3 linked regions of the Ovis aries genome follow. The protein of the gene in region 2 purifies or fractionates together with the protein of the main gene of each other region. This does not show direct contact. Links are inferred from orthologs where the notes say so. Each region holds a gene or a part of one and is shown on either strand. Other genes may lie near its edges.

The links.
Region 1: the proteins of SOS1 (region 2) and CRK purify together in Homo sapiens (affinity purification with mass spectrometry; 6 studies listed by BioGRID and IntAct, with this or other methods). This does not show direct contact. The link is inferred for Ovis aries from reciprocal best matches to the Homo sapiens genes SOS1 and CRK.
Region 3: the proteins of SOS1 (region 2) and EPS8 purify together in Homo sapiens (affinity purification with western blotting; 5 studies listed by BioGRID and IntAct, with this or other methods). This does not show direct contact. The link is inferred for Ovis aries from reciprocal best matches to the Homo sapiens genes SOS1 and EPS8.

What each region holds. Positions count from the first base shown.
Region 1 is NC_056064.1:22,467,983-22,479,015, forward strand, and holds part of CRK (adapter molecule crk), read right to left. Parts: intron 4,832-11,033; coding exon 4,296-4,831; intron 2,616-4,295; exon of another isoform or gene 2,543-2,615; intron 1-2,542. UniProt on the Homo sapiens protein: Involved in cell branching and adhesion mediated by BCAR1-CRK-RAPGEF1 signaling and activation of RAP1.
Region 2 is NC_056056.1:85,196,899-85,207,931, reverse strand, and holds the end of SOS1 (son of sevenless homolog 1), read right to left. Parts: intron 7,847-11,033; coding exon 7,802-7,846; intron 6,179-7,801; coding exon 6,060-6,178; intron 5,152-6,059; coding exon 4,660-5,151; 3' UTR 211-4,659; downstream 1-210.
Region 3 is NC_056056.1:199,936,830-199,947,371, reverse strand, and holds the end of EPS8 (epidermal growth factor receptor kinase substrate 8), read right to left. Parts: intron 5,146-10,542; coding exon 4,965-5,145; intron 3,805-4,964; coding exon 3,675-3,804; intron 1,406-3,674; coding exon 1,289-1,405; 3' UTR 150-1,288; downstream 1-149. UniProt on the Homo sapiens protein: Signaling adapter that controls various cellular protrusions by regulating actin cytoskeleton dynamics and architecture. Depending on its association with other signal transducers, can regulate different processes.

The DNA.
Region 1 (11,033 bases), on a different chromosome or scaffold from region 2:
AAGTGAGGCCAATTCAGTCTTAATGATTCACTTGCCTCAGAGATGGACTGAAATGCCCATGGCTCATATTCGTGGATCATTGCAGGTCTTTGAGATTTAACGCGTAGGTATGCTTCCTGATGTCAAGCAGAAGCACCACACTGAAGACAGGTGTTACCCTGATTGTAGTCCGAGTCCAAAAAGATTTTTCTGTAGCTCAACAACTGATAGTAACTAAAACTAAGTTCCCCATCTTCTTGATGAGAGGTACACAGAACAGGTACATTTTAGCTCAACTTAAGGAATTTTCTAAGAACTAGTACAGTCAACAGGACCAGAGGTTCCCAAACTGAAGAGTCAGAGGCACTGCAGCAAATTCTGAGGGGTCCCACCAAGTATTTTGTATTTTTGAGGGAAACAGCAATACCTGATGTCTGTTATGCCATGTGAACTACTAACTCAAAACAGTTAACAATTTTGATATCAGATTACACTACATCCCTTTCAAAGATGTCATGTCTTTGCAAAGCTGGGCTTTGGCAGTTGCTATGATAAAAATCAAGTACGTTATGAAAAAACAGGTGTGGAACAGGAAATGAAGGTGGCAATGTTCCATATGATCCCAAGGTTTGAGAAACTTTGCTATTTAATGGGGGGTTAAGTAACTGAAACTATTTTATTAAAATGAAAATATTATTTTCTTTCAATTATGTTTATTATTTTTTCAAGTGGGTATGAAGTTATTACATATATAGCCAAGACCTGTCATGCAGTTCTTACACTTCCTAATCTCATTTTTTCTCTCTGGAACAAAGGGGAAATTAAGATCTTCACTTCACTTTTCCATATATAGGTCAAAAGGCCTAAATAACTTAAGGTTTCAGAGCTCTACATGGGGAGATGTAGAGTTAATATGGTCACTGCTGCATATAATCAGGGACCCATGGAACTTTACGTCTTCCCTATCTGCTACCAGAAGAACAGGTTCACACCTAAGTCCACCTGAAAAGCTCCTTGGTTACTCAGAAGTCTTATCTATCAAAGGCAAGAGGCCAGGCTGAATCAGAAAATGGAAGTTACATGATAGTACATTCCAAGATAATGTGATTGATCTGGACAGTCTACAGAGGCATGAAATAAACTTTAACACCTGCAATTTACAAGATAAGATTCATCACTATTCCAGCTCCCAAGGAGCCATGACTCATGAAACCAAAACCAATCAAACAGAAATCTCAGATCAAATCTAAGACCAAAAAAGTAAATGGTGCCTCTGCACTGTTCTAGTGCTACTTCCAGTGTGTCTCCTTCAAAATACATTTGTTTAAAATCTGTCTTTATTAGAAGCTCCAGGATGGAACAGATGGTGTCCTCCTGGTTCAGTTACATTCCCCCAGAGTTACAGTGAACCAAGGAATACCCTTACTTTGGTTGTTTGCTAGAATTAATGCCTTCTTTCCAACAACCTTCATTCCTACTAGAGAAATCTGATGGGTGGGAAAAGAGGAAGTAGTCATTGACTTATATTCTACTGGAGGACTCTGGTCACAGAAAATATACCATGCAGGAAACATCCATCTGTAAGGGGAGGACAGGTGGATCCTGAACATACTCTTTAAGTACAGAAACCCTTCCTTCAAAAAAAAAAAACCTTAGAGAGACACCGATATATAACAGTAAAAACAAAGCTGCTTTGACTGAGAGAGGTAACCCAGAGCGTTGCATCCTCAGCTACCTTCTGGGAAATACTAGGAGTCTGAACCCTTATTATACCTGGGGTTCTGTCCACTTCTAAAATGCAATGATTTCAACATCAATTTCAAGGTAACCGTAAAACTTCACTGAAATGTGCCTAGTTTGTCTACAGATCTAAACCTATAATGGGTCGACTACAGCAATGAACTTTTTTCTCATCTGAATGCGAAGGTCAGAAAGTCAGAGCTTCCTAACCTTATCTCCTGGCTTCGTCTCCACAGGGACTAGGCATCAGCTCCTATGGAAAACCAGAAATAGGAAAGGAACGCTGTCTCCCGGCACGGAGACCACACGCAAGGACATGCTGCCAGTTACACCACACAAAACTGACGGGAGGGCAGCATCACCACTACGAAAGAGAAAGTGCCCCAGATGCGATCTGGGCGTGGCTGAAAAGGCCACTGTAGATCTGGACTCCTCATATCTCCAACTAGTTTAAACAACCCATTCGATCCATCTCTTATTTTTTTTCAATAAATGAATAGGGGTATCTAAGGTCTTTTCTAGCTTTAGATTTCTGTGATGCTAAACTTACATGATGTTTTCTTAAGTACATAAGGTGTTTTTAAAGTTATTATTTGGGGTACTTGTTCTAACGTGAAAGAGGCTATCATCATCAGTCAACACATGTGGCTCCAAACTAATACCCAACCAAAAAAGGAAACTTAGTGACATCATAAAGCACTCTTCTACTTTAGTCTTTATTTCACAAGATTTAGGTTTCACAGTAGGAGACCAGCTCAACCATTTTGGAGCACTAAAGCCTCTAATTAAGGCAAGCATCGTTGGGGCAAACAATTCTGGGAATTCCCTGATGGTCCAGTGGTTAGGACTCAGCATTTTCACTGCCGTGGGCCCAGGTTCAATCCCTGGTTAGGAAACTGCTGCTGCTGCTGCTGCTAAGTCAGTCATGTCCGACCCCGTGAGACCCCACAGACGGCAGCCCACCAGGCTCTCCTGTCCCTGGGACTCTCAAGGCAAGAACACTGGAGTGGGTTGCCATTTCCTTCTCCAATGCATGAAAGTGAAAAGTAAAAGTGAAGTCACTCAGTCGTGTTGACTCTTAGATCCTGGAAACTGCTCAGTGAGGTCAAAACCAAACCAAACCAAACCAATTTTCTTTGAGAAAGGAATTGCAAATGGAAGCAAAATTAATGTGGTAACTATTCTCTCCTGGGTGCTAGCTAGCTATTCCCACACTCCAGCCCGGCTAACAGGGCCTGCAATAAGCGTCCAGAGTCACAGCTGTCACGGGCACAGCACCAGCTTGGCTGCTGCCGTCGTATGAACTTAAATGAAAACATGAAGCTAGAAACTTGTTTTCCTTATCCTCCAAATTCTAAGTGGGAAAAAGTAGTGTGACCTAGACAACATATAATTCCTTTCTCATCAAAAGCAGGACACAATACTTTTCAGTCACAACATGATCTCAAAATATACACATTTTAAAAGCACACATTTTTTTCAGTCAAACCTGTAGACCTAATCCTTCTTTGCACCCAACTCTTCAGAATGCAAATGAAAAATTTTAAATCCAGTAATATCAGACTACTTCAAATAAATTTCAGCTTACTGTACAGCCTTTTACTTAGGCAACTCCCACTCCTCACTGTATAAGCATGATCCAAAGGATTTTAGAGATTTCCATTTACAAAAATATATTAATACTTTAGCCCCTTCTCTGCTAACCTGCACCCCTGAGTAACTTCAGCCTATGCTCATGAAATTTAGCTACTTGCTTAAAGTTATCGTATCTGAAAGGCTCTGAAAGACAGGAAAGCATGCCACTTCTAGCTTTTATGCTGAACCACTATCTCTGCATAACTCAGAAAGACAGGGAGGGAAGGAGGGAAGAAGAGAGGAGGTAAGAAACAAAGCTGTGAGCACTAAAGACGAGAATAAACAACGTGATGGCTGGCCAGAGATGGGCTACCGAGGACAACTATTCACCAGTAAAGGTGAAAATTTACTCCTCAGGAGGAACTGGTTTCTCGAGGATAAAATGCAGCAAACAACAAAGACCAAGTAAACCTGCTGCTTCTTGGAACTGACGCTTTTGAGTATCTATCTCATTATACCTATACAATTAGTCATGGTAAGAAGCCCCAAGCCCCCTAAAGTAAAAACACATTTCTATAAGAAAATTCATTTAAGTATTTTGATAGAGACCACTTATACTCAAATTTGTGGAGCCCACTTATTTTAGATAACGATAAACAGAAAGAAACAGGTTAGAATGTAGATGAAAAAAAATATTTTAGGTTAATTCCTGTGAATTCAGGTAGTGTTATTAAAGAAGTCAAAGTATGGTTTAGTAAATCAATCAGAACATTCAGTTATACAGTTTTAAGCTCACTCATTCCAAAATAGGTTTTCTATAAAAAAGAGAAAACCCAACATTAAGTGCCAAGATCAGTACTTAATGGTAAAAGTACCATTCAACATCTATAACAATGTTACAATGCTGCTGCTTATATTCAGCATTCCTACAAAGCTCTAAGAGGTCTGAAAGGGAGACCCTGTAGCAGATCTCTTCTTTCTACATTTTGCACATTATGTACCTCCAAAGCCAAGGCTGTCTTGTCGTAGGCATTAGGGACTCGCTTCTGGATTACCCTGGCATAAATGGGCCCATTCTGGAGGTTAGGGAGCGGAGTGTTGACGCTGGGTTGGGCATAGGGCCCAGGCTCCGGCCCACCCAGTGGCTGTGGGTGGGAACCCTCCTGGTTACCTCCAATCAGAGCCGATACTGAGGCGGAGGCAGGTCTATACTTCTCCACGTAAGGGACTGGAATCATCCCTCTCTTGCCTTCGCTGTCCTCCGCATTCCACCACTGCTCTTCAGGCTTATCCCGGATTCTCAGGATGTCTCCTTTCTTAAAGGGAAGATCTTCTTCATCATTCCCATTAAAGTCAAAGAGGGCTCGTACATACTCTGCCTCTTCCTGCCTGATAATCACTCCACTACCCTGCCTGGATCTGGAAACTGGTTCTATCAACGTTGTAGTGTCCAAATAGTGTATTTTGTAGAATTCCAGTAAAGCAGGCAATGAATCAAATTCTTGATCTCCTATTCGGAGTCTGGAGGGACTCACCCCTAAAAAAAAAACAGAGCAGGGTATTATTGAAAGATATACTGGAGATGAAATGCAGATTTTAAGCATCTCCCCGTACATATTTACTCAATATTTAACCAGAAAGAAAGAGAAGGAAAAAAATCATCTAAATAACCCCTTCTCCTAACAGTAAACTAAAATCATACTTTGTAGCTCAAATGCTCCCTGGGAAGAAGGTGAGCGATCACTACCTGCAGCAGAGAAGAGACAGAGGCTGTGAGAGAGCAACCACGCCCGTCATGACAAGCTCACATATCGGACCAAAGACAGAACACTATGGAAACCTCTTGTTCATTCTCCCAAAACGTTCCGTGGCTATTCCATTTGCAGAGTACAAGGGTTCAAGGCTGTGTTAGTCTTCTTTTTCTTTTCAACCTCAGGAAATGTAGCAACCTCTCAGTTTTCATAGGTCCCAGCAGCTATCCCAACGAGGTGGGATATTTTATTCTCAATTTTTCACTATGCAAACAATGCTCTTATGAGTGCTTTTATTAATGAACATTTTTTATTACCTCCTTAGGATAAACGTCTTAAAATGCAACTGCTGGATCAAAGGGTAAGAACACCAAGATTTATGTTGCCTGTCGTCCAAAAAGTTTTATGATTTCACACTCACACCAGTGGATTATGAGTTCCCATTTCCCCCATGTCCTTGCCAGAACAGCAGGGGTGTCTCTTCTTAAATATCATCTTTGATTGTTTGATGTTTTTCACATTTATTGAATATTTGTACTTGTTTTGTGAAAATTACTTGTTCGAGTTCTTTGTTAAAGAGAGGGCCTAAACTACCCTCACCACTCCTATTAAAACCAGTCAGTCAAAACAAAAACCTAGCCAATCCATCTAAAAACCCTTTGCTGTTAACGCTGCGAAACAGGAACACTGCGGTAGCCCAGCTGTCTAAATTGCTTCGCCACTCTAAAAAATGAGACCAAATTATTTCGTTCCGTGTTAGACAACACTCTGTCCAGATAGACCAGAAAAAGTACATTTAAAATCCTCTAGTGGGGAGAGGTGAAGTGATAAACTTTGGAGGTTAACCAAAAGTCCTCAATACAGAATGTATACTCATGAGTGACTTCTCTTTCCACCCATATGAAACAAAGGCCGAGACACAATGTAGAGGACAGATGCACATTTCTTACATTGCAAAAGTCCATCTGTGGAATTCATGGCTATAAACTAAAACGAGTTAATAGCCCACAGTCAGTAATGTTGGCTGTCTCTCTGACTCAAGATGTTGAAATACATGCTCATACCCAGGATTGTCCATCTATGGCAAACACTCCTCAGACACCAGCAGAATGCAACCCCAATAGCTCCAAGTGCAGAACTGGTGACTGGAGAGAGGATTTTGGTTATGACCATACCAGAGCACAGTGGTGCTACATTCTGGAGTTTCTCTTCTCTAAAGCTCAAAACTGATGGGTAATAATTCCTACTCCAGCCTGGTAAACAAGGAAGACGCATGGCTACCTCATCTATCACCTCTAGGCTACAGTGATCCTTCAGGCCTGTGGAACTATGTGAAGGACAGAGTCAGTGTGAGCTCCAAGAAGACCGACTTTGTACTGCCTGGTCAAGAAAGCCTTAAGGGCAGAGTGGTAGGGAGAACCTTCGAGAACCTGGCTTAGAGAATTGTCCTGGTGACACCTAGGAATAAAAGTTCCCTTCCTAGAATTTACCCAACAATACGCCAAGGTACAAATGCCAATATGGCTTTCACTAGTCACCCTTTAGGGACCGTGTTCATTAATAATGAACATAACTCTCAAGTGAGGAAAAGTTACATGAAAATCTGTCCCCAGGTTTGAGAAACTCACAGCACAGCTGCGCATACAAATGCAAACACAGTGTGGCTGGTGAGCAAGGAGCACAGCAGCGTGTTTCAGGAAGACTTCTTCTCCCCTGGCATTCACTCCCAATTGGGGATGTACTCTACAAAAATCAGTGGCAACAACAAGCTATGTTTTAAGATAGAACAAAATTACTATAAAAGAATAGCTCCTTCCATTCCTGAATGGTTCGTTCTTTCCTTCTTTCGTTTTGCCACATTGGGAAACTTGCGAGATCTCAGTTCTCTGACAAGGAATTGAACCAAGATCCCAGCAGCAAATGCCTGGAGTCCTAACCACTGAACCACCAAGAACTCCCTCTTTTCCTATTCTAATGATGTTACAATTATTCCATAGAGAAATACCTGTTTTTGTGTGCCGCTGCAGCAGTTACATGTTATATATATATATGGGGCAATCAAGCTTCAGGAGAGGAGGGGGAACAAAATACATATACGTAAGTTCCAGATAAGCCCAAACCTCACCACAGCTATGTGCTCCGGCTCCTTTTCCCTAGTTCATCTCTTTCCAACCACAAACAGCTAAAGCCAGGAAATAGAAGGGCGGGAAAGGAAGGAGACAGTCAGTCAGTTTAGAGAACAGAACCAACAGCAGAGTTCTCCGAGCTGGGACTTGGAAAACCTCACTGACTTGTTCTCCATCAAACCTGTGCTGGATTCTAAATGTGCAGTTATGAACATAGTCAGCAATCAGAATCAAGGCAGTCAGAGCTATCTTTTAACCAACAGAGCTGTACACGCTCAACTCATCACTTCCAAGCATGTCCGCCCTCAGGTTACAACAGTTTTTACAATCCCCTGAGAGTTTTATGAAGAACACCCAAGAGCTCTGGGGGCTAAACAGGCCAAGGCACTTCTGGCATGGGCATCGCCACAGTGGCTCCATTATCAGTCTCTTAACCTCACACTTCCTCTCCTTTCCTCTTTCCTAGATTCTCATTCCCTCTCTTCTTTCTCCACTGCCTATGGTATTCATAGAGATTCCTTCAAAGCTCTTACCATCTGTTCACTACAAAAGACTAACAAGGCCACTGACTTCATTTGAGAAAGTATCCTGAAAAAGCTCTAAAAATGGTGGATATCCGCATGTGACTTTGCAGATTCAGACTTATAAAGTTTGAAGAATTCAGGCTGTGGTATTTCTAGCTATCTGAATTGTTATTTAACTTTTGACAGGGATCTACATAATAATAATTTCTATCTAATAATAGTAAGTTCCTAAAAGTAGATGGTATATTATAGATGCCCAATAAAAGGCCAATCAGCTTAATTATACACCCCCCCCAAACCTCTGAACACCTCTGTAAATTTTCAATTCTTCCCAAAGAAGATTCCATAGAATCTCAAGATGCTTCTCAAAAAGTTCTGTGGTCAGACTGGTTTGAAAAAACCACTGTCCAATACCTGCCTGTCTAGAGTCATAATTTCACATGAACATAGGGAAGGCTTAGAGAAGTCTGGCGATAAATAAACGCACTTTCTTTTACTACAGATTTTTTTGTGGGGGCAGGGTCTAAAATCTTTTAAGTAACTCACTAAAGAACTCCTCATAGAACCACTGAATATCTTTAACTCATTAAAGAGTAAATCATGAGGACCAGGTTTGAGAACTACAAGGATGAGCCAAACAAATGAAATAAATGCTGGATGTTCAAAAAGGCAGTAGTGGATAAGAGGCAGTCCCCTAGGATCTCCAGAAGTGGCCTGGCCCAGCACCACCTTGAAGAGGCAGCACAATCATCACCCTAGCATCTGCCTCCACTCCCAAAATGAGACAAGTTTCTATGTTCCCCTCACCCACTAGGGCCAACAAGTAGGAGGTTCTGGGCTGAGCAGGCAATGGAAGCCATCGTCTTGTTTCCACACACTGGCTCCAAGGCTCCTTCATACTGCCTGATGCACCCCCACCCAGCACTTACTCCTTCAGACATGCTGTGAGCCTCTCAAAGCTGAGAATTGTTTTCCATTCTGCTTCAGTTTTTCCCTCTCCACCACATCTGTTAATATACCTAATGGTAGTTCCATTCCTAAGCATTTAATATACTAAAACTCATTTAACCCTTGAAATAACCCTGTCAGTACTAATTCCCCTCTTTCACTGATGAGGAAACTGAGGCAGAGAGAAGTTAAAGAACTTGCCTATGGTTATATGAGCAGTAAGCAGAAGATAAGGAAGGTTCAACGGAGAAGGCAATGGCACCCCACTCTAGTACTCTTGCCTGGAAAATCCCACGGATGGAGGAGCCTGGTAGGCTGTAGTCCATGGGGTCGCTAGGAGTTGGACACGACTAAGCAACTTCCCTTTCACTTTTATGCCTTGGAGAAGGAAATGGCAACCCACTCCAGTTTTCTTGCCTGGAGAATCCCAGGGACGGAGGAGCCTGGTGGGCTTCCATCTATGGGGTTACGCAGACTCGGACACAACTGAAGTGACTTAGCAGCAGCAAGGAAGATTCAAACCCAGACTTCAGAACACAAGCTTTGAACTATTCTCCCAACTCATATTTACTGTTTTATCGACTGTTTATTGGACAAGGTCTAGTAAAACCTCATGTTCAAGAGGTAAAAACTAGTGGATCAATCAAGGATTGCAAAGTCTTCCCAAGAGGTACCCCTGACAGAGTGTGACCAGTAGACTTGATCAAGCCCTGCCCTATGGCCCTGGGGCACAGTCAGGGGACTTCAGGCAACGGCAGCACTGGCAGCCTGTGGGAGCTAAACCCAAGGTAAAACAAGCTGACTGGAAAAAGTGGAGAGTATCTGGTCTATTGTGTTCATATACCTCTAAAATGTATATCTGAGCCATTCTGTACAAATTCATCCTATGCATTATGCCCACAAAATACATTATATAATCCTAAACAAAAAGCTCAGTTACCATATTTAATCTGGCAGATAAGGTTACTAAAAACCTCTTCATCACTGACTCTAGATAGCAGCTGCATACTGCCTGAGCGCTGAAGCCAGTCTCCTGTCACCCTTTCCTTTGGTCTTTATCTAGGCCATGCCACGCGGCATGCAGGATCTCAGTTCCCCAACCAGGGATCAAATCCATGCCCCCTACAGTGGAAGCGTGGAAGTCCCTCCTTTCAGTCTATAAACAGAACCTGGGGCCCAGAACAGACGCAAGTGTTGAGGCTTCAAAGTGCACTACTGGGATCTCAAAAGTAAACTGGCTTTGACAGAAAGCAGTGCAGTATAACAGTGTCAGCTCTCAGGCCACAATTCCTAGGTGCAATTCTGGCTCAGTTGCTTACAAGCTGCGTGACTTTGCGGCACTTTACGGTATCTCTGACTCTGTTTCCTCATCTATAAAACGGAAATAGTTTAATAAGTGGAGGTCATAGTACTTTCCTCACTGGACTGTTATAGACAGTAAATGAGACAAGGCATATAATGTACTCAGCAAAGTGCCTGGCACAGAATAACCAGTCAATAAATGGCAGCTATTAATACTGTATATGCCTCTCTAAAATTCAAGAAATTCTTCTGTGTGGCTTCAAAAGAAAAGAGCTTCATGGGGGGAGGGGGAGAACAAAGATTAAGTAATCTTTACAAAGATAGCAACTGAATCAACTGTCCTATGCAGAAAATAGGGTACACGGCAGAAACAAAAAGGACCACAATGCCCATGAACTTTCCACACCCCAGCCACAAACTCTGGCAATCCTCACCTTCTCTCTGGGGCCAAAGATCTGAATTCATATCTGTTAACGAAAAGGTGGAGCTCAACATTAAGGTAACAGCTGAGATTAAAGTTATTAACACCAAGACGTGGGGAAAGCTCAAACAAAGCTGTGTGTTAGGTCGCATCCAACTCTTTTGCAACCCCATGGACTGTAGTCCGCCAGGCTCCTCAGTCCATGGGATTCTCCAGGCAAGAATACTGGACTGGTTTGCCATTTCCTTCTCCCAGGGATCTTCCCCACCCAGGGACTGAACCTGGGTTCTCCTGCACTGCAGGCAGATTCTTTACCATCTGAGCCACCAGCAAAGCCCCTGCTGCTATTTCCAAATTTTTCAACCAACAAAACACACAGAAGGTTGGGAACTTGAGTTTCAGTGACTGTCTGCCATCATGTCACTGCACAGTAATGCAAAAACCCAGACATCATGAAGGTGGTAAAAAGTAGAAAATGTTTGGTTTAGAGTAAACACATTCCCACCTCATGTTATAATGCTATTAAACCAACCAGGCTGAGAAAGACCTAGAATAATTTGTAAGCTTTATGATCCCTACGCTTTTTTAATTGGTATGTGTTAACAAGAGATTATCCCATTTCATTTCTGGTCAGAGAGAATAACCCTAAATTAGGACTCTCCTAAAA
Region 2 (11,033 bases):
AATGTCCTCCCACTCACTCTATTCAGAGTGTGCAACAGGAGGAAGTATTCAACTGCTTTTATAATACTGTGATACAGAAAAAAGCACCTCAAAGCAAAAGCATGATTAAGAGCAAACTATTTCCACAGAGTATGAGCTAAAATGAGAGTCACTGATGACATTAAAATGTTGCTCTCTAAAATAAACACATGCAAAAATAATACACGTGTGGGCTATGTAAGGCATTTTTCTTTATTATTTTTCGGTTTATCTTAGTAATGCCAGAAAAATAACAGCCATTATTTTCACTTTAAATGCAAACCAAATACTGCTGCACACAGAGTACAAAGATTACCTACGAACATGGTTAGGTACAAAGGCCGTATTAGATGTGTAGACTGCACTTTGTTTTTACATCAAAGTAAGACTGACAGAGCAATTTTTTTGACAATTATTTTAGCAAATAACCGTGCTACTAAACAAAGGCAAATACACACATATATACACAAACATGTTTCAACTAAAGTTATTCGTGTCACTTTGACAAACAAAGGCTTCTTCTCTGGTGGGTTTCACCAGATGTTTGCACCCCAGAGTCCCCTGCCCTGATCCCGCCCCCAAATGCTGACTTGATCTGAAGAAAAAAAGTAGAGATGTTCTTAATTAAAGGCACATTTGGCAGCTACTGAAAAGTGGCATGCATCTGGCACAGGTGCGCTCTCCCTAAAGCCACACGTGTGACTTCCATCTGCTATGCATCTTGTTTCTTTGAGTGGTAGTCCAATGTGATCCACCTTTAGCTAACTTGCTCTGTAATTCTGCAGCAATTGGCTACTTAATGCACTATTTTCATTAAAGGCAAAAGGGAAATTTGCTCACAGTTGACAGAAAATGCACTTTACGGTGTCAAAAATGGAAAATAAGGCATGAAATTTACAAAACAAGTTACAAGTGCTTTTGTTCAGATTTATCATATAGACTTCATGCTTTTCTTTAACTAGAGCTCAAAATATTTCATTGGCTCATGTATAAAGGATTATGAAATGATTTTAAAAGTAATGAGATGCTTCAAAAGAAAAATATTGAATAAATAAACTAAGTCACCACTTTCCCTTATAAATAATTTTACTGCATAATTCTTTCAGCCAAACTGGTTTTAACCCTGTGATGCTTATTTTACTGGTAAAGATTAATGTGCAACTCCATAGGACCTACACTTGTACAACAGTCATACAATATAGGTTAAAAGATAAGTGAACCTACCTATAGCAGCAGAATACCAAGAAATAAATGGTTTATTCTTTCTGAATCTGGAGGGGAAAAAAAAAAAAGGTTTTCCTCAATATGTGTAACACTAATAAATTGGAATTCTCCCCCCCTCCATTGGCATTATGTTTTGCTGAGCCACTTAAAAATCTCAATTTAAGCTGTCATTAAAAGACAAATGATGAGGTACATGATTAAAGAGAGCTAAATTTGAGAATTAAGACAAGATAGTGATCATAGATACCAACTAATTTTTGGTTTAATTTTTAATGTAGGGAAAAACACATTAAGGAATTTGGAACCACAGTGTAGCCTCCAACTGAAAAAGTACAGTTCACTACACTGTTCTGTTAACTGTAGTATAATTAGGGTGGCATGCTCTTCACTAAATTTAGAATCATTACAACATTCTTGAGTTGTTAGAGCATAGTAACCTACTGAACACATAATCTGATATCCAACAACCTTTAATTAAGCAAACTTTTGATGTTTATACATTTCCTGATCATTCGTGGTCTTAAAATACATTTGGAGATGTGGAAAGAGTAAATAACCTGTCTTTCAATAAATTTAGAAACATATACTTTATTTGTTCCTGTTTTTAAAACTACTTAGATGTGAAAAGCCTCCCTTTCTATTATATTGGTTATTGGCCCATGTAGGTAAATTCAGCCTTGAAATATTTTCATTTTGTTGATCCAAAGATAATGAAACAACTAAGAGCATTTCCATTTCTAAAAGAAATGTTCCATGTTTTGGAATGAGATTTAGGAAAGTCATGCTGCACTGACTGTCTTGTAATGTCCTGAATTCAAAAGCAGAATTTTGTGGTGATGCATTTATCTTCTCAGCCACTTCTTGTCCCTGGATTAAGTAGATTTCAGTTACTACAAAGAGTAAATCTGCCAGTGAGTTAATGCTTCACATGTGAAGAAAGCAAGGATACAGTTTTCTCACTACTGTTTAAGGGCATCCAATTGAAATTTTTCTAACCAGTTACCACTGCAGAAAATATTTTGACCCCACTTTTATACTTCAGAGTACAAATATCCTCTATCCACAATGCATATACAGCTGATGCACAGTGAAGCGGTCGCCTAGAACCACCAGGGTAAAAGAATACTTCCCTTTGGAAGATTAGAACTTCAAATCTGAGTTTTTCTTCTTTATGCAATCAGGAAGGCTGAAAAGAGGTCATTACCTTGTTAGAAGGCTAACACACTGGCCAGAGGGATACTGAATGGGCTCCAATGTGACTTTTCTCAGGTTCTCATTTGGAGTTAGGGTTGGGGTAATTAAAGAGAAGTGTGCATAAGACACATAAAGGGAAATCCTAGGGATGATGAGGCTGGACTAATAAAAAGTCATGGAAATTCTGGAATGTGTATTATGATTAACTGTAGCAGCACTAGTAAGTAGGCGTAGATAAATACTTGTTGAATGAATGGTCTTATAGATGCTTTGCAAACAAGAGTGGATTTGAAATAAATTTTGGGGGAGACTTTTGAAAGGAGACATTTCATAAAAGTGGCTACCCTAATAGGAATGGTACAAATATTAAAAACAAAAGATTCAACTCTAATAAATAAATAAGAAAGAATATGACAGGATGGATTGCTTAATGATGATGCAACCAACATTCTGGTCTTAAAGGACTATATATTGTACTATTGTGATGTACATTTAATGCTGTAATAAATATCACAGAAAATTATTAAAGTACTAGGTTTCCACCATGATGCAGCACTTCTAAAAATGCCTCTAATGGCATGGTTAACAGAACTGCTGAAATGTTACTTCATTATTCAGAGGACACATGCAGATACAGATGAACTGATGACTCTCTAAGGATGGAATACTGCACACTTCACAGATATTATAGTGGAGATTAATAACATTTTTTCTCTTCAACAAGTTGCATGCATTTCAGTCACAGTATTGTTAGACTCAGAAGGTCAGTACATAGGTTTAATGAATAATCCATATTATGCTATTAATGATGTAGGTAGATGTTCTATTACGAATAGTTCTGATAGAGCAAAGACCTCAGGCAAGGTAGAATGTTTAATATAAACTTTAACAAACTGTAATACATGTTACCTAGGAAATTAAAAACCTTACAAAGCTCTGCTTAAAAGATACCCATCCTATTCTAACCAAATATTTTCCTACATGCTGAACTGCAACTTTAGACCATTCTTTTAAGAGGAATACACACATCCAGAACTAGAAACCAAGGCGTACCACAATACGTGCTTTTATGCTTAGTGTTGTGTGTGTGTGTGTTTCAACTGAAAGAAATAAGAATCAACCATTTTCTCCATATAATAATTTAATATATGCCAGCCAAACAAAGTATTTGTATCTTTATTCAATTAAATTAAAACAGACCTGCCAGGTATATTATATAACATTCACTATATACACATGATTTAGGCAATGCAAGGTAATTCTAGATATGCTGATCACTCAACTATTAGTCAAACATGACCGGTGTCAGCGACACCCAGCAAGTGCTCCTTTCCCACCGGGTGACTGCACTTCCACAGTATGGTTAGAGGGACAGCTACAAGCCATGACATGGATTACCAGTAAACTTCTGTGGGAAAAGGGGGGAAATGACAATCTAGCATAAAGATTAACAGTCTCCTAAATGTAAATCATATGCTTGACAGTTACATTTTTAGAAGAGTTCTTCTGTCATTGTTAATGACACAAAACTTCGTTTGAAGGCAACACCACCACATTCTGTTTGTGTAGGGAGGGTGGGTAGGGCGATGCTCTTAAAATTGGCATAATTATTCTTAAAAAAAAAAAAAAAAAAGTACCTCTTTGGTGAAGCCTCGGTACCCATTCAATTCACTGTAATAATCTGTAAACAGGACTGCAGTATGGTGCTGGGCCTTGATTCCAACAAGGGCAGGTACCACAGCCTTTCCTCACAGTCCTCTGAATGATTTTTAAGAAAATATTCTAAAGTAGGACGAGTAAAAGCAAAGGAAAACAAAGGAGGATTTGAAGATCCCTGTTTAAGATTTCTTTTTAAAAAGTGCATAATATTTTGAATTACAAAAACTGTCATCATGTGGGCCTGCTGGATACTAGACTGTTTTCCATCCCTTTAATGATAAAGATCACTTCACAAAAAGAGGACTCCTGCTTACTGGCTGGCAAAAGGTTCCTTTACTTGATTTTCCGGTGAAATCAGTTGTCCACTTCCTCTAGATCAACTTTTCCATACTCACTTTATAATTATGTCCATGTTAAAATTCATTGTCTTATGACTGCATCTTGAAGTAGAGTCGTTAGTGTTTGGAGTTTTCATTTTAACTCCTCAGTGCTGGCACGTTCAGTGCATCCATCGCCAGCAATGGATCTGGGGCTAGGAAAATGTACATCCTGATCCAGAGGAACTCAGGAAGAATGGGCATTCTCCAACAGTGGTGGTCCATCTCTGTGCACGGACGGGTGGGTGTGCTCCCTTTTGTAAGTTTTTGGAGGGAGTTTAGGGATATGCTGAGAAGTGCTTTGTCGTGGAGGAACAGGCGGCCCAGCAATGGAATGGAGGTCCACTTCTTGTGTCAATGGTGGTGACGGCAGATGCCTTCTTGTTCCATGAGGAGAAGGTGTTTGAGGAGGAGGTGGTGTAAAGGGGGAGGGGCTGTTTGGGAAGAAGGCATTACTATGGTCACTTTTTTTGCCCAAAGGGGGAGGTTGGAGATGTAGTGGTGAACTTGAGAAAACATCAGGTGTCCTCACGGGTTCTCGTGGAGGTAATAGGGGAGGGCTCTCAGGAGGGTCTGATATAGAGGTCCGGTCTGATATTGAATACCGTGGTGAATAGGCTTTTGACGTGGGTTGCCTAGGAGGAATTGCTGGGGGGCTGTCCAAATGCTTAGACATCATCTAACATAAATGGGGAAAAAAAGACATTTATTAACAACATATGTAGCACCATGAATATACTAAGAATTAAGCTGGGTTTTCAAATACGTTATTGGAAGAACTCTAGGTGTGGATCAGGGAGTTTTGCCATATGCTTTAAATTGGAGGTTATGGCAGTTCATCCATTAAAAAAATTATTTTTCCTTCAATGTTAAGTTTTTATTCTTCTCAAAATTTTGTTTGCTGCTGCTTACCTATCACTCAATCTAATATAAAATCATTTCAATTTAGCATGTTACCTATCAATTTTATAATGTTAAATTTACTATAATAGCATTTCATGGTATTCTGCAAAGAGTTTTCCCCTGCCTAGGTGCTCTGCTCTCTGGACACTTTGATACCACCGAATCATGTTAACAAGTTGGCAAAGAAAGAAATTTAAACAGGTAGGAAAAAAATAGCTATTATGAGCTGTTAAGGTCTCTTCTGACCTGGAATTTTCATGAAAATCCCACAGCCTGTCAAATTCACCTGTTACAGGCTTAGATATGTAACATTTAGCACTGAGATACAGTTTCATTTAAAACGTGCCTTCATATACAGCTTCAGATCTCTTTCTATCTTTTTACAGAACTGCTTGAGACTACATTACTCTTAAATTATAGGTTAAACTTGTGGGGTTTTTTTTTGACAGTACCCATATTTAGATTTATAAGTATTTTGAAAACCTACCAGAAAACTGCTTTCAGAAGAAAGGAAATAAACATTACTGAATGGTAAACCCATACTTAATTCTGGTTTAAACTCTATTAAGCCCCAGTACCCTGAGTATTAACCTCATTCCGTTAGAACTCAATGAGAGATGAGCACTTGATTATAATGGAACTGCAATGATTCCAGTCTCCAGATAACCAGATGTTCTACTTTACCTTAGATGGTGAAGATTCTGCTGGGGCAGACTCTGGCCGTCTTCGTGGAGGAACAGGAGGGGGGACAGGCACTTCATCAGTGCTCTTGGTTAAACTTATAGATGATACTGAAGCAGATCCTGTAGGATGGTACAATTTTGAAAAGCTCACAGGAATTTTATATCATCAATCCTGCTTATATTTATTAAAAGAAATGTACAGAAGTATCAAAAGCAGTACAATAAAGCAACACCCAACAGTACTTCCTTTATTAAAGCAAACTGCTATAAAAGCATGCAGAAATTTCTCAGCAGAGTTTTCAGAGAAAAAGCTGTCTAAGTTATTCTGTTGTTACACTTCTTGAAGAAAGTAACATTTCCATTGTTAATCTATTACTGGAATTTTCTGGGAGAGAGCAAACTATTAAAAACTTTTGGAATGGTAATTTTTGTTAACCTTTTATGATGGGTTCATTTCCCACCCCGCCCCCACCACGACTGTAGTAGTATGGAATTTCCTTGCCTTCACTGGATAGTCTTTGGGAATACTTTCTGTTCTTAACCACTCTCTCCAATGTCTCTCCCTGCCATCCTGTCCTGGGGAGGGATCTCTTCAGTTTGCTTAGGTATCAGCTCTCCTTGGTGGGGAAGCAAAGTCAGGTTCATCACATTCTAATCCAAAATTTTTCATTGTGATGAACACATTTAAAATGACTGAGGCTATGCTGATAATAAAAACAGAAATTACACTAGAATCTAGTGAACCTGATTTAGGAGTAAACTGATGAACTGGCACTAAAAAGGTAAGTAAAAGCCTCTAATTGTAACCTATCTTACAAACATTTATGATAAGGGCTTAATATAGGCATATAAATAACTACACTTTGAAAAACATTAATGTAAGTTAACCTGTACATCAGCACAATGAAAAAGATGTGAAAAAACACTTAAATGATCATTCAAAATTGTATTTGGCAGGTTTTCTTTCCTTTAAACACTGACAGTTTAAATTTTGTCAATTAAATGTTATAAGATAGAACTTAGAGTACTTTGTGTATTGATATTATTTAAATAAGCAACATTCTGATCACCTACCTTTCTTCTTATGAAACTTTGTAAGTTAGCTTATAACACTATTTTCCATTGCATACATTCTGAAATCATTTGTATGAAGGACAGCAAAAAACAATCTATTGGCTTAAAATTTATGGGATAGTTGGTGAGTTGTTAGTACTTTAAAAACAAATACCTACACTGGAACTTTATTTTGCTTGTCAGTGATGAATATTTAGGTTGTATAATACAGATAGTCACAGTGATAAGACAGCTGTTCTAAAGTCAAATAAGTCATTTGCCTACAGCCTGTGCTGTCCCCAGCCTAAGTGTATTGTGTGACTTAAGACACTGCATGTAGCTGCCAACATTCCCATATGCGCATGCATGCTCTTGCCTTTTTTTTTTTTAAGTTGGGCATTAGAACTCCAAAGTTGGAAATGAGAAATGGTTAAATGTGGAAGCCACCCATATAATAATGTTGTTTCAAAAGAGAAGAAAGGTTTTACAAAAAGCATGAGAATTATATAAGTTTAAGCAAATCATTTATGATCAAAAGATAGTACAAGTGAAGGCCTCACTTCTAAGATGCTGCAAAGCAAGGCACCAATGCTGCCAGACCCAAGACGAGTTTTAGCAGGGAAAGGTTACATTTGGTTTAATTTTTAAAGCCAAAGCAAAAATTATGAGTCTTAAACCAAATATACTAACTTGGGCCATGGGGCAGTGTAACTTGGATAAAGACGGTATCGCTGCCTGTGAAAGGAAACAAGAAAAAGTAGATTTTTTTCTTTCAGAAATATATTTAACTCATCTGTAAAAATTTATTTATAATAGAAATGTTATTTCTGTCATTCTAGTTTTAAAGAATGATAGAACAGTTTAGCAAAAGCTCATTACTACTTACTTTTGAGAAAAAGAATTAAATTGCATTAATATCATTGGGAATTTTGAAGATTCATTTTAGATTCACTATTTGATATCATAATAATTAAATGAAAAAGCATTCATGAGAAAACTACAATATCCTTCTATTTTAATGGAAGACTTCCAAAAACTGTATAAACCCAATTTGAGCAAAGAATTCAGTTGGGCATACAGAAATATGTCATTCACTAAGGATTATTTTTAAAACCCAGACTTGTGAAAATAAGTAGTAAATAATGAATTTACGTTATAAAAATACCATTATTATTATTAGTATATATATATACCTTAGAAAATGTTCTTAGGGCATGTGTTCATCACAAAATAACTATAGCTTTGGAAATTACAACAAGCTGAAAGTGATATAGCTTTTCTCCTTCTATATTTTTAAACACTTAAAATATCATTAAACATTTTTGGTGCTTAGACACATTATTTATACAGGAAACTGATAATTTTTGAATATCTAATTTCAACACTACTAATTCTTTTAAGAAAAAAATTGAAAATTATAAAATGCAAAGCCCTGAGAGCATTAAAGTAGAAAAACTGAGACAAAAGCTAGAGGATCTATACTGGTTCTAAATCAATACAGTCGTTTAGGTTACACTGCCTCATATCACCAACATACTGAACAGATCATATCTAAGAGGCTAAAGCCATAACTCTAGCATGAGACTGAGCTGATTAATTCAGGTTTCTCTCTCTCGTTTTTGCACAACAATCACTCAAACGATTAGGGCTGTTGCTTTTTCTAGCTTCTTTGGTCAGAACAAGTATAATTTTAGGTCCTAGGTTTAGCTGGCAGAACCATTAATTTGACTGCTTATACAGATACAGTGTTTTTGTTTCCCAGACAGCCTTGATTTTAAATAACACAGCCTACTACCTCCTTTCCATATGTACTGATATTTATTTGGAGGCTACGTTACTGAGGGTAGCAATCCAGCGAATCCTAATAAGTTAGCTCTCAAAAGATTAAAATTCACTTTTATACTTTTGACGTTAAATAATGCTACTGCTGTGTCAAAGATTCTCTTCACTACAAATGAGATTCTCTTCACTAACATAACAGGGGTTTACAGGGAGTATCTGCTCCAGTGCTTACTACTTATGTATTTTCCACTTTTTTGGAAAAGAAATAAGTATGCTTTTTGGAGATAAGTGTCAAGAACATGGTTGTATACTTAGTACAATATAGGAGTAAAATCAAAACATAAGCTAAGTTGGTAGCTGCCAACTGCAGGCTTTTAGAAAGAATGATTATACCTCCACATATATACTTGTGCACACAGCTGTAGGCTGGGCTTTGGTCTAATGTATATACAGCAAAGGCTTAGATTTATGTGTAAACTTGGGGCACTTTTCTGATTTGTCACTTCAAACTAATTGCTTAGTCTTACTGGAAAATGCTATAAAAAATTCTTTGAGAATTATACATTATGTATCTCAAGAAATATATACTAGGAATTCTTATCAGCTGGGTACTGAACAAATTTACTGACAGTGACTTAGGGCTGAAATCCAGTTAATCAAAAAGTAGCATCAGCTGGTTAAGTACAAATCCCAGATAACAGATCTGTGGTTTCTCCACTGTGGCTGCACGTTAGGCCCTGCTGGAAGGTTTTTAAAAATACTGATGCCCACGTGCCAGTGCTGGTCTAATACAAGCATGGACTGAGCATATAGGTATTTTTTTAAAGCTCTCCAGGGGATTATAACTTTCAGTCAGGGTTGAAACCACTGTTGGACGATAACCTTCAGTTTATATTTGAGTCATTCTGAGAATAAAAATAAGCATTTTCCTATAGAAAAAAATTATATAAATCATGGATAATTTCTTAAATTCACAAAAGCCTGTAAAATGCAAATGTATGAGATCAGAAACTAGTCACCTACAACAATCTGCTACAAAGAAAAGCTCTGCATTCCAGCTGAAAATGTATCTTTTCTTGTTAAAGTTTTCCCTACTAAGGGATGGGGTAAAGCTCATCTCTAGCACACAGACCAGGCCAGACCCATGGCTCCCTTTTATCATCAGGCAACCTTCAACAGCAATGTATCAAGAGCACTTCATCCTCCTCTCTCCATGCTAGAGCCACAGATACAAAGCTGGTGGTCTTTCCCTTTTCCCGGCCACTGTCATCATCGCCTGAGAGATGGACCTGGTAAGGGCAAGGTGTGGAGCAGGGCTCTGAATGTGAGGATATATATAGCAGCACTAGGTAGGAGGCCAGTTTCCTTCCCTCTCTGTCTTCACCACAAAGTTTTCTGTGACCATTCCTGCCCATTCTGTGGTCATCTTCCTGTGAACTTCTATTGCACTTATATTGTCACTCATTTAGCATTTTGTCAGTAAACTAAAACTTACTCATCGTCTCTGCAATCTTACTGAGAGATGAAAAAAAATCATAGTACAAACAGAATCAAAGCATTTAACCCTGGCTAAGCGTTTAACTATGAGTTTCTTTTATTATGATTATTTTTTTTTAATCTCTCAGTAAGATTGCAAGCCTTACCAGAGAAGATGTGTCCAAGCTTATTTAGCAAGAAATGAGATATTGACAGATATTGGCTGAAGAAATTAATCTTTGTTTTTAAAGTAAATTATTTTGGGGAAAAAAAACTAAAAAAAAGCAAAACAACTACTATAACTGATCAAAAAATTCTAGTCAAATTTCGCCTTTTGAAAACCTTAAGCAATGTCTTTGCTTTGCAGTGCCTTTCTGCCTCTTCGTACTGAGTGGAATATGTCCAGATGACTTAAAAATGTAGGTGCAGCAGCTCTTTCCTGCCAGGCCCTGAGGACAGCAAGGAAGTAGGTATTTGGTGTAGCGGCAACACAATGAGTGCCAAGTTGGATGCGCTGGTGACCACTGGGCCCTCCCCCCATTAACACTAGCAGATCTGTTAAGCAGAGTGGGGTCAAAAGCAGATAAGGACCTTTAATATCCTTAGGTGAGCTTTAAGGAGGGGATTAACTGGGCCTACAGATGGTTTTATATTATACTGGCTT
Region 3 (10,542 bases), about 110 Mb from region 2:
ATCTAGAGCAGTTTTTACCCACTCAGAACTTCACTGGAAATCAGTTTAAAAAGGAAAAAAAAAAGTGGGCCTCTGTTTTTCCCATTCCACTCAACCGTGATCCCCGTTCTTCATGCCAAAGGTCCCTTTTGCCAATGAGACAGAAGCCATTTATTAACATACAGCAAATACTGTTTATTGCAGACTCTCCAGCTGACTCATGTGAAAAAGGCACTATGAAAATTAATGAAACTAGATAATCTCTCTAAATGGGTTTATGTTAAAATATACAACATTCTTACATAACATCTGTTTTATATATGTGAAATAATATAACATTTAATGACAAAAATCATGTTTCCAAAAATAACTTTGTTGAAGGTTAGGTCTCTTTCTTTTCTCTACCTAGAATCTTTCACAGGATCAAAATATGTGTAGATTATTTCTTATTACCAGAAAAACTTGACATGGATAAACACATAAGATGGCCCCAATTTGCTTTTAACTACTTATATCAATATTTAGGACTGAGGCCTTCATTAAGCAAAATACTGTAACACACACCAATGCAGGCTATTTCCTGTGACAGATTTTGAATGTATGTGACCTCTTTTACACTTGTGCTTTCTTAATATATAAGAACACAGTATAGGTAATAAGCAGAATATAAACTAAATCAAAATACAAGCTATACAAGGAATTGTGAACAACAGAGCCATGACAAATAAAATGTCTCAGGAATGTTCCAAAGGTTTCTATTTGTATGTCCAAGGCCTTGTTGTACTTTACAATTCATTAAATGTTTCAGTTTTTTAAAACTGTTGGCATTAAGAACTTTAAATAAATCTAAATAGTCTATATGTCCAAGAAGAGACCTAAGTAAGCAGAGACTAGCCTAAAGTAAGCTACACCCTGGATGATACACAACACAGTCACAGGCAAAACTAAAAATATTTAGATTTTGAATCATGGGCATATCTATCTTTTTGTTTTGCTGCAATTAATAAATTCACCACTATCAAAAAAATCTGCTTATGCATTGAGACTGAGATGAAATAATTAATCCATTAAAGGAAACCTCACCTTGGTCAAATATGCAAAATATTTCCCAAGGTCAAAAATTCTGCTTAAAATTTTTAATTTTAATAAAAATAATGGGCCCAGAAGCAAGTCCTCTGCTTACTTAGGTCTGCATTGTTTCTTTATGGCGATAGATTCTGTACACCAAGAAGACAACTCTGACATTCCTGTCATGGCTTCTTAAAACAAAGCATGGTGGAAACATGCCAAGAATGATGGAATTCTGAAACTAATTAGTGATGCTTCCCTCATCAAAAGACTCCACTCCTGAGTCGCTTGCAGCAGCACTGATTTTTTCCTGTCGTCTTCGCATGATTTCTTGCAACTCAGAGCTGCCACTGTTATCCTGAAAAACAAACACGGTTCAGACAAGATGGTTAGTGGTTTGTGAGGCTGCAGATCACCTAATGAAATGGCTCAGGCTAAAAGTTCTTTGTGTTTTTCTTCTCACGTCTCTTGGCGGGGAACTGAAGGCTGCCCTTCAGGTGAGTGATGATTTGGACTTCACTGACCTCACTTTTTCACTGATAGTGTCTAAAGATCATTCATTCACCATGCTTTCACCTGAACATGTTAAAGGTAAATCAGTAATGCATGTGGAATGCTTTAGATTCCCTGGGAGAAAGAAGAGATTGTACAGTAAGCACAAAAAGATGGTAACTTATCAAAGAATGCTCTTTAGGTCAAGCAAGATATTCATCTATCTGCTGTAGGGGATTCTGAATCAGGCCCAAAGACTGGGCTCAGAAAACTCCAAGTTTCCCCATACCAAAGGGTTGTGACCATCTGACATCTTGTTGGTTTCCGTCCTTTTGAAGTCTGACCTACAACCCCTGTGCACCCACTATAATCCTCTCTCATCAACAGAAGTCTCTGGCGACACACAGGTGAGTAAACAATGAACTAGATACAAGAGAAGGGCATGATGGGAAGGTGCCTGGGGAAGATGCAGAACCTCAGGTAACAATTCACATCCAGAGGAAGAGGAACAAGAGGCCAGGAGGACACGGGCAGTCAGGGAAAATGACAGCAATAGGGAGTCGGGACGGAAGGAACTCAGAAACGTTAGGGTTATGGAACTTACTTAACCCGTAGGGAGTAATTTACACATTCTCAATAAAAGCAGAATGTATAATGGTAACTAAACAGCCTGAGGAAAGATATAATCCTGATTCATATTCAACAGACAGAAAGCCTAATATAGGACCAAGCAAGATCAATGTGGTGGGAAAAATTTCCAAGGGAAATATTTCTTCTGACTGAGAATGGTTACAGGGTTGCATGCATGAGGCTATTTAGTACATTATTTAACTGTTGAATTTACACAATATACCTGCTAGAGATAACTGTGTATTGATTTCACACCAAAGCCTATATCTTTTCATTTGAGTCTGAGTTTAATTTTCACGAACGCTATTAAGAGCTGTGAGATGTAACAGTTAGAAACTACTACCTTTACACAGCCCATGTTAAGTAGAGAAGGATATTGGAAGCTTAAGTATATCCAATCTGGAAAAAATTTACTCTTGCTTTCACAGAAACAACTATACCTAAGGAATTACTCTTCAGGGCTCTCTGTTTCCAGTGGTCCCTGCCTAATATTTTCCCTCTGATTATTTATATGTATAAGCAGGTCTAGGCTTATCTGATAGCTCAGTTGATAAAGAATCTACCTGCAAAGCAGGAGACCTGGGTTTGATACCTGGGTTGGGAAGATTTGCTGGAGAAAAGATAGGCAACCCACTCCAGTATTCCTAGGTTTCCCTTGTGGCTCAACTGGTAAAGAATCTGCCTGCAATGTGGGAGACCTGGGTTCGATCTCTGGGTTGGGAAGATCCCCTGGAGAAGGGAAAGGCTACCCACTCCAGTATTCTGGCCTGGAGAATTCCATGAAAAGTATAGTCCATGGGACTGTAAAGAGTCAGACATGAGTGAGCAACTTTCAGTTCACTAAGCAGGCCTAAGGCACACAGCCACGGTTTTAACACTTTATAACCTCTAACCTGGGTTTCCCTGGTGGCTCAGTGGTAAAGAATCTGCCTGCCAATACAGGAGATGCAGGTTTGATCCCTGGGTTGGGAAGATCCCCTGAAGAAGGAAAAGGCAATCCACTCCAATATTTTGCTCGGGAAATCCCATGGATAGAACAGCCTGGTGGGCTGCAGTCCATGGGGTCACAGAAGAGTCAGAGACGCCTTAGCAACTAAACAACAGCAATCTCAAACTTGCTAGAATCTACAAACTAAACGTTAAGGACAGGCAAAAATGTTCTGGCCTCTTAGGTCATTTATTCACTTGAAGTAAATGAGTAAATAAAATTTCTACAGAAGTAGTTAGCACATATAAAATGAAAGCATTAGGCTTTTTATTAGACATCCAAAAATACATGAAGCTTCATTTTGCAGGCACACTTAACAATAAATTAATCTCCCTAAAAGCGGTCACTGATGACTCCAGTAATAGATTATTAAACCTGATTCAAGTTGAATTCAGCTCTGTATGAAAGGCAAAGAGAGTGACCAATATGGACACAAACATTATTTCCAGAGCTTTCAAACTGCAGTCCACCCTCATGACTAATACAGAAAAACACCCTCTTAGGTTGACAGTCATACCTCTAATGCAGCTTTCTGAACAGTGATTTGGCTAAAGACTCTGGCCCCTTCTGGACAGACGGTTCTCAGTTCATCTTTATTGAGAGAGAAAAGCTGTGCACCATTTAATACTCCAAGACTATTAACAGTCCTGAGAAAACAAAAGAAAGAAAAGAAAAAAACAGAACATTAAAAATACTGTCTGAACTCGTGGTGGCCAAGGGGCAAGGATGAACTGAGAGTCTGGCGTTGGTAGATGCAAACTATTACAGATAGGCTGGATAAGCAACAAAGTCCTACTGTACAGCACAGGGAACTATATTCAACATCCTGGGGTAAACCATAATGGAAAAGAATAAAAAAAAGAATGCATATAGATGCATAGTTAAGCCACTTTGTTTATAGCAGAAATTAATACAACACTGTAAATCAACCATATTTATATAAATATAAATTATAAATACATACATACATACAAACTGTCTGGAAAAAAGCAAAAGGAAAGTTTCTGGTCCTCTACAATCTCTCTTCTCTAGGTGTTCTATACACTGCAAATCATAAATGGTACTAGAGTGCTTAGGGCAATAAGATCACTAACCATAAGCTATCAAAAAAGAGCCATCTGGGTTTATTATTCTTATTATGTAGTAGCAATTCCTTGAAATGTGGTGTTTTGTAGAAGGAATAGATAACTTTCTAGCAGTCAGGCAACTGACTAACCATTCTTTTCAGTCATAGGTGAGTCCCATGTGTCAGGTTCTCTTAAATACGTATTGTTCAGAGTTCAAATACACATGTTCAAATATGTGTACCAAATATACACAAAATATTTATAATTTTTTAATAGAAAAATGGAAACTTCACTATGGATTTCCAAAAGGAAAGGCTCTATTAGGTTATAACCCATGATAAGTAACGTCATCTATTTTTTTATTTGCTTGGGGTCCACATGCTACAACAGGAGGAAAGTTTCTGCTTTGTGTCCTCTGTGGCCTGGGGAGTCTAGGTTAAGACCACAGTCTACATATGTGACCTTCTGAAAGATAAAGACAGCTGCCAACAGATTGCTTCAGAAGCCAATGATGAACAGACACCACCATCTAGAAAATGGGGAGCCAATGAAAGACAGTTATTTCCGGGCTTCTTGCAATTCGTTTTTTAGCTATAAATGGCTAGAGTCATTTCCTAAGTGTGACGGATGCAGCTTGGGTTCTCACATTTTCTAGGAATCACTTGTGCATCTTAGCGATCAAACTGAAAACACTGCATGTTTCAAGCACAGAACTGTAATGGATCCCCAGAGAGACTTACACAGGGTTGAAGCCCTTTGACTGCAACCACGTCTTCACTTCCTCTGGGGTGGAGTCATAAGTGATATTGACAACTGGCACGTTCTGCCGTGGCACGTGAAACTTCTTCTGGGCGGCGCTCCGACCAATGGTCAGTCTGTGGATAAGTTCATCCTGCACTTCCTCCATCTGAGATTTCCTCCCTAGATACCAACACAGAGGAGGTTATTATTTTTTTTTTAAAGCTCCAACAACTCACTCTCTCTAGGACTCCAATGCCAACAATCTTTGGACCCCAGCAGGGCTGACAATCTAGTATTCCTCCTATCTTCCCTTCCATTCTCACCAAGCATAAACTTTATAATCAATTATTAAAATCACTCCCTGTTTCTTCTCTGTCTTCATTGTATTCATTTGGCAAGACCCCCACCCTTGTTAAATCTTAACTTTCTTATTCTGTGCTACACCTGCACACCAAATAGAACACAACAGTGCTGAGTGGGCTCATGTTAATTTCATGATTATGAATCTCCACTGGGCAGTTAATGCTCCCTGATAATCACACTACATTTCCTGTGGCCAGTGGTTTTCAACTGGGTGGGGGATTTTGACTCCAGGGGACATCTGGCAACAGCCAGAGACACTTGGAAGATGTCACAAATGGGGGTCAAGAAAGAAGGGAGCTACCATCATGCAGTGAGTAGAGGTCTGATATAACAAGACAGGCTGCAATGCACACAGGTCAGTTTCCTATAGTAGAGAATTACATAGCCTCAAACGTCCACAGGGCTCAAGGTGAGAAATCCCACCTTGGACCATACAATTGTCTGCTGTTAGACAAACATTTCCTATGTTCTTCCTTCTGTGAACCTCCCAACACCCAGTCTCCAATCCTCACCCTGAGCTGATGATCTCACTTTCATCATTTCTGAGTAAAATAAAGAAGTTAAACTTAGATCCCTAAGTTTCCTTAGCAGCTCCCCCTCTAAGATTCTCTAGTAGCTCTCCTCACCACCAGCACCACCAGCACTACCAACACTTTCCCTGTACACTCCGCCAGCTATCCTTTATTACACTATAGACAAGTGACTCCACAGTCCTCAGGCAACCCCTCCACAAGTGCACTAGACTCCACGTCTTCTGTCTATTTAAATCCTCTGACAGTAATTTCCCCCTGCTTCTTCCATGTTATCAATTTTCCTCTGACTGAATCATTTCAACCAATTACAAACATGCTATTATTTTGTTACTTCTCTCACATTTAAATAAGTCTCTTTTTTTTAAGGTTTTTAAGTGGACCATTTTTAAAGTCATTACTGAACTTGCTGCAAACATTGCTTCTGCTTTTATGTTTTGGTTTTGTGGCCGTGAGGCATATGGGATTTTAGTTAGCTTCCTGAGTGAGGATCAACCTGCACCCCCTGCATTGGAAGGTGAGGTCTTAGCCACTGGACTGCCAGGGAAATTCCTAAATAAGCCCTTTCTTAACCCTATGTACCCTCTCAGCTACTGCCCATTTCTCTGCTCCTCTTTTAACAAAACTAAAAAATCTGTCCAGACTAGCCTGCTGAAACTCCTGTTCTTCAGTTTCCCCTTAAATTCACTGCAATTAGGCTATTGGTGCATCTCTCTGCATCATTTTGCTAAACTCCAGTGGTTGATTCCCAATCATTTACTTATGTCATCCATCAGCAACATTTGAAGGAGGCAACTCCTCCTTGAAACACCTTCTTATGGCCTTCAGGACACACACACGCTCTGATTTTTCCTCCTGTCTCACAGACCTCAGTATCCTATTCTTGGAACTGTCTCATCTCCCTAACCCTCCAGGACTCAGTCCTTAGACATCTTTTCTTGAGGCACTCTCTGCATCAATGATCACTGTGGGTGGTCTCATGGCTTTAAACGCCATTTAAAAGCTGGTGACTACCCAAAATATTCCTGCAGTCCAGGCTGGTCCTCCGAACTCTAGACTCATATTACACCAACTCTCTACTTGATATATTCATTTGGATGTCTACTAGATATTTCAAATGTAACATGTCTACATTGGAATAACTCATCTTCTCCTGAAGCTTGCTTTTATGCTAGACTTCCCAACTTAGTTGGGAATTCTATTTTTCCAGTGCCTCCAGCAAAATACCACTGAGGTATGCCTGATTCCCCTTTGCCCTCAATTACATCCAATCCACTGGCAAAACTTGTTGGTCCCACCATTAGAATACACCACACATCCAACACTTCACTTCGTCTTCTTTCTGCTGCCAGCGTGGTCTGATCCAGCAGCCTGTTCATAGATCTCTTTGCCGCTTCTCTACATGATCCCACCCTTTGTTCTTCATTCTTTTCTCAATACAACAGCTAAATTGATCCTTTTAAAATCTGAGTCAGAGACATACACATACATATTTGTAGTATATCACCTTCAAGGGTTAAATACAAAGAACTGATACAGTAATCCAATTTAACTAACTTGGCAAGTGACAGTGACTTGGTCACTAAGGGAGCTTTTGTGACCACTCTTCTGATTCTTTTTTTCAGGGAGAGTATTTCAGAAAGTATTTGATGTCCCTGGGAAATAAGTGAAAGTGTGAAATAATAAGATAGTGTTATTTTAGCCTATTTTTTTTTAATTCCTCAAGTACCCAGGAAAGCTTTTGAAGAAAAAAGAAGTCAAAAGAAAGAGAAATAAGTGAAAGGAAGAGAGGGAACGAGGGAGGATGAGAGGCTAGAGAGAGAGGGGATGTTACCAATGGTTACATTTAACTAATACACGGCATGCATTTTATTAGTTAACTCTCTTAAATCACCATGATTTAGTCACACTGCCATACAACAGAGAGAACATCTCAGAGAAATAATACAAAAAGTATCACCACAGTAAAAGATTTATTTCCTTATCTGTTGACTTAGCCACTACAGGGCAATCTCCAGTCTAAAGTACAACCTCTTTCCAGGGAATATAGAAACCTCTTGTGATGTGTTCCTGGCTTTGGTTTCCACTTACAATGTTCTAGCACATAACAACACACTAGACTAACTTTACACCTCTCTCTAAAACAACACTTCTTATAGTACTAAAGATTAAACTCAAATAAAAGGAGTAACATTTCAAAGGAAGCAGAAGACATGCAAAACAACTGAAGCACTGATCTCTTCAAAAGTGGGAAGAGGAGAGCCTTTTTGAAAACTATGATGAATAGAACTGAATAGCTTATATGACAATAGAAAACAATAGAATGGGAAAGACTAGAGATCTCTTCAAGAAAATTAGAGATATCAAGGGAACATTTCATGCAAAGATGGGCACACTTAAGGACAGAAGTGGTATGGACCTAACAGAAGCAGAAGATATTAAGAAGAGGTGGCAAGAATACACAGAAGAACTATACAAAAAAGATCTTCATGTCCCAGATAACCACAATGGTGTGATCACTCACCTAGAGCCAGACATGCTGCAGTGAGAAGTCAAGTGGGCTTTAGGAAGCATCACTAAGAACAAAGCTAGTGGAGGTGATGGAATTCCAGCTGAGCTATTTCAAATTCTAAAAGATGATGCTGTTAAAGTGCTGCACTCAATATGCCAGCAAATTTGGAAAAACTCAACAATGGCCACAGGACTAGAGAAGTTCTCATTCTAGTCCCAAAGAAAGGCAATGCCAAAGAATGTTCCAACTACCACACAATTGCACTCATCTCACATGCTAGCAAAGTAATGCTCAAAATTCTCCAAGCTAGGCTTCAACAGTAAATGAATAGAGAAATTCTAGATGTTCAAGCTGGATTTAGAAAAGAAAGAGGAATCAGAGACAAATTGCCAGCATCCACTGGATCATAGAAAAAGCAAGAGAATTCCAGAAAAACATCTACTTCTGCTTCATTGACTACACTAAAGCCTTTGACTGTGTGGATCACAACAAACTGTGAAAAATTTTAAAGAGATGGGAATATCAGACCACTTTACCTGCCTCCTGAGAAATCTGTATGCAAGTCAACAGTTAGAAGTGGACATGGAATAACAGATTGGTTCCAAATCAGAAAAGGAGTACATCAATGCTGTATACTGTCACCTTGTTTATTTAATTTATATGCAGAGTACATCACACAAAATGCTGGGCTGGATGAAGAACAAGCTGGAATCAGGATTCCCGGGAGAAATATCAATAACCTCAGATATGCAGATGACAACATCCTAATGGCAGAAAGCAAAAAGGAACTAAAGAGCCTCTTGATGAAAGTGAAAGAGGAGAGTAGAAAAGTTGGCTTAAAGCTCAACATTCAAACAACTAAGATCATGGCATCCGGTCCCATTACTTTATGGTAAATAGATAGGAAAACAATGGAAACAGTGACAGACCTTGTTTTCTTGGGCTCCAAAATCACTGCAGATGGTGAGGGTAGCCAATGAAATTAAAAGACGCTTGCTCCTTGGAAGAAAAGCTATGACCAACGTAGATAGCATATTAAAAAGCAGAGACATTACTTTGCCAACAAAGGCCTGTATAGTCAAAGCTATGAATTTTCTAGTAGTCATGTATGGATGTGAGAGTTGGACCATAAAGAAAGCTGACTGCCAAAGAATAGATGCTTTTGAACTGTGATGTTGGATAAGTCTCTTGTGAGTCCTTTGGACGGCAAGGAAAACAAACCAGTCAATCCTAAAGAAAATCATTGGATTTTCTTGGATATTCATTGGAAGGATTGTCCCGGAAGCTGAAGCTCCAATACTTTGGCCATCTGATGCGAAGAAGTGACTCATTAGAAAAGACCCTGATGCTGGGAAAGATTGAAGGCAGGAGGAGAAGGGGATGACAGAAGATAAGATGGTTGGCTGGCATCACCAACTCAATGGGACATGAGATTGTGCAAGCTCCAGGAGTTGGTGATGGACAGCAAAGCCTGGTGTGCTGCAGTCCATGGGGTCACAAAGAGTTGGACATGACTGAGGGACTGAACTGAACTGAGCTCATATGACACAGGCTCCAGCAGCTGGTTTGAATCAATGGACCTGCTGACTTTTTTTCCTTGTCCATGGCTATCTGGTAACATTTTTATGGGTGAGTATTCAAATTACAGATCCTTCAATTTTATTATCTGAAGTCTTATCAGACTTATCAGAGACCATATGTGGAGAACATAGGTAGCACAAAATGTATATTTTGAAAGAAACCAGGCTACCAATAAAAAAAATGTGTCTGTTTGCTTCAAAAAGACTGTTGAGAAGCCCCAACATCCATTCAGAAGAAATGTTCTCCAAAAAGTGCTCACAAAGATAAAAAATTATCATGAGAATATTTGTTTTACCAAAAGGATTATCTTTATTTAGTGACAAACTGTTTTTTGAGCTATCTCTAAAAGGAACATTATATAAGTAAATGTAGAATGTTACTAGTGTAAGGAAACAAGTACAAGTGTTCATCTGAGGAGAGATGTTTATGTTTTACATACCAATGTCACCCTTTTACTTATGAAAAACAGACTTAAAAATGATGAGTCACAATTATCAGGAGAGTTCTCTATCTTTATAAAATTCTAAACATGCCTCTTTCCCATTAGGTTATTCTTAGTTTCTAAGACTAGGACAAAGAACAAATTGTCCC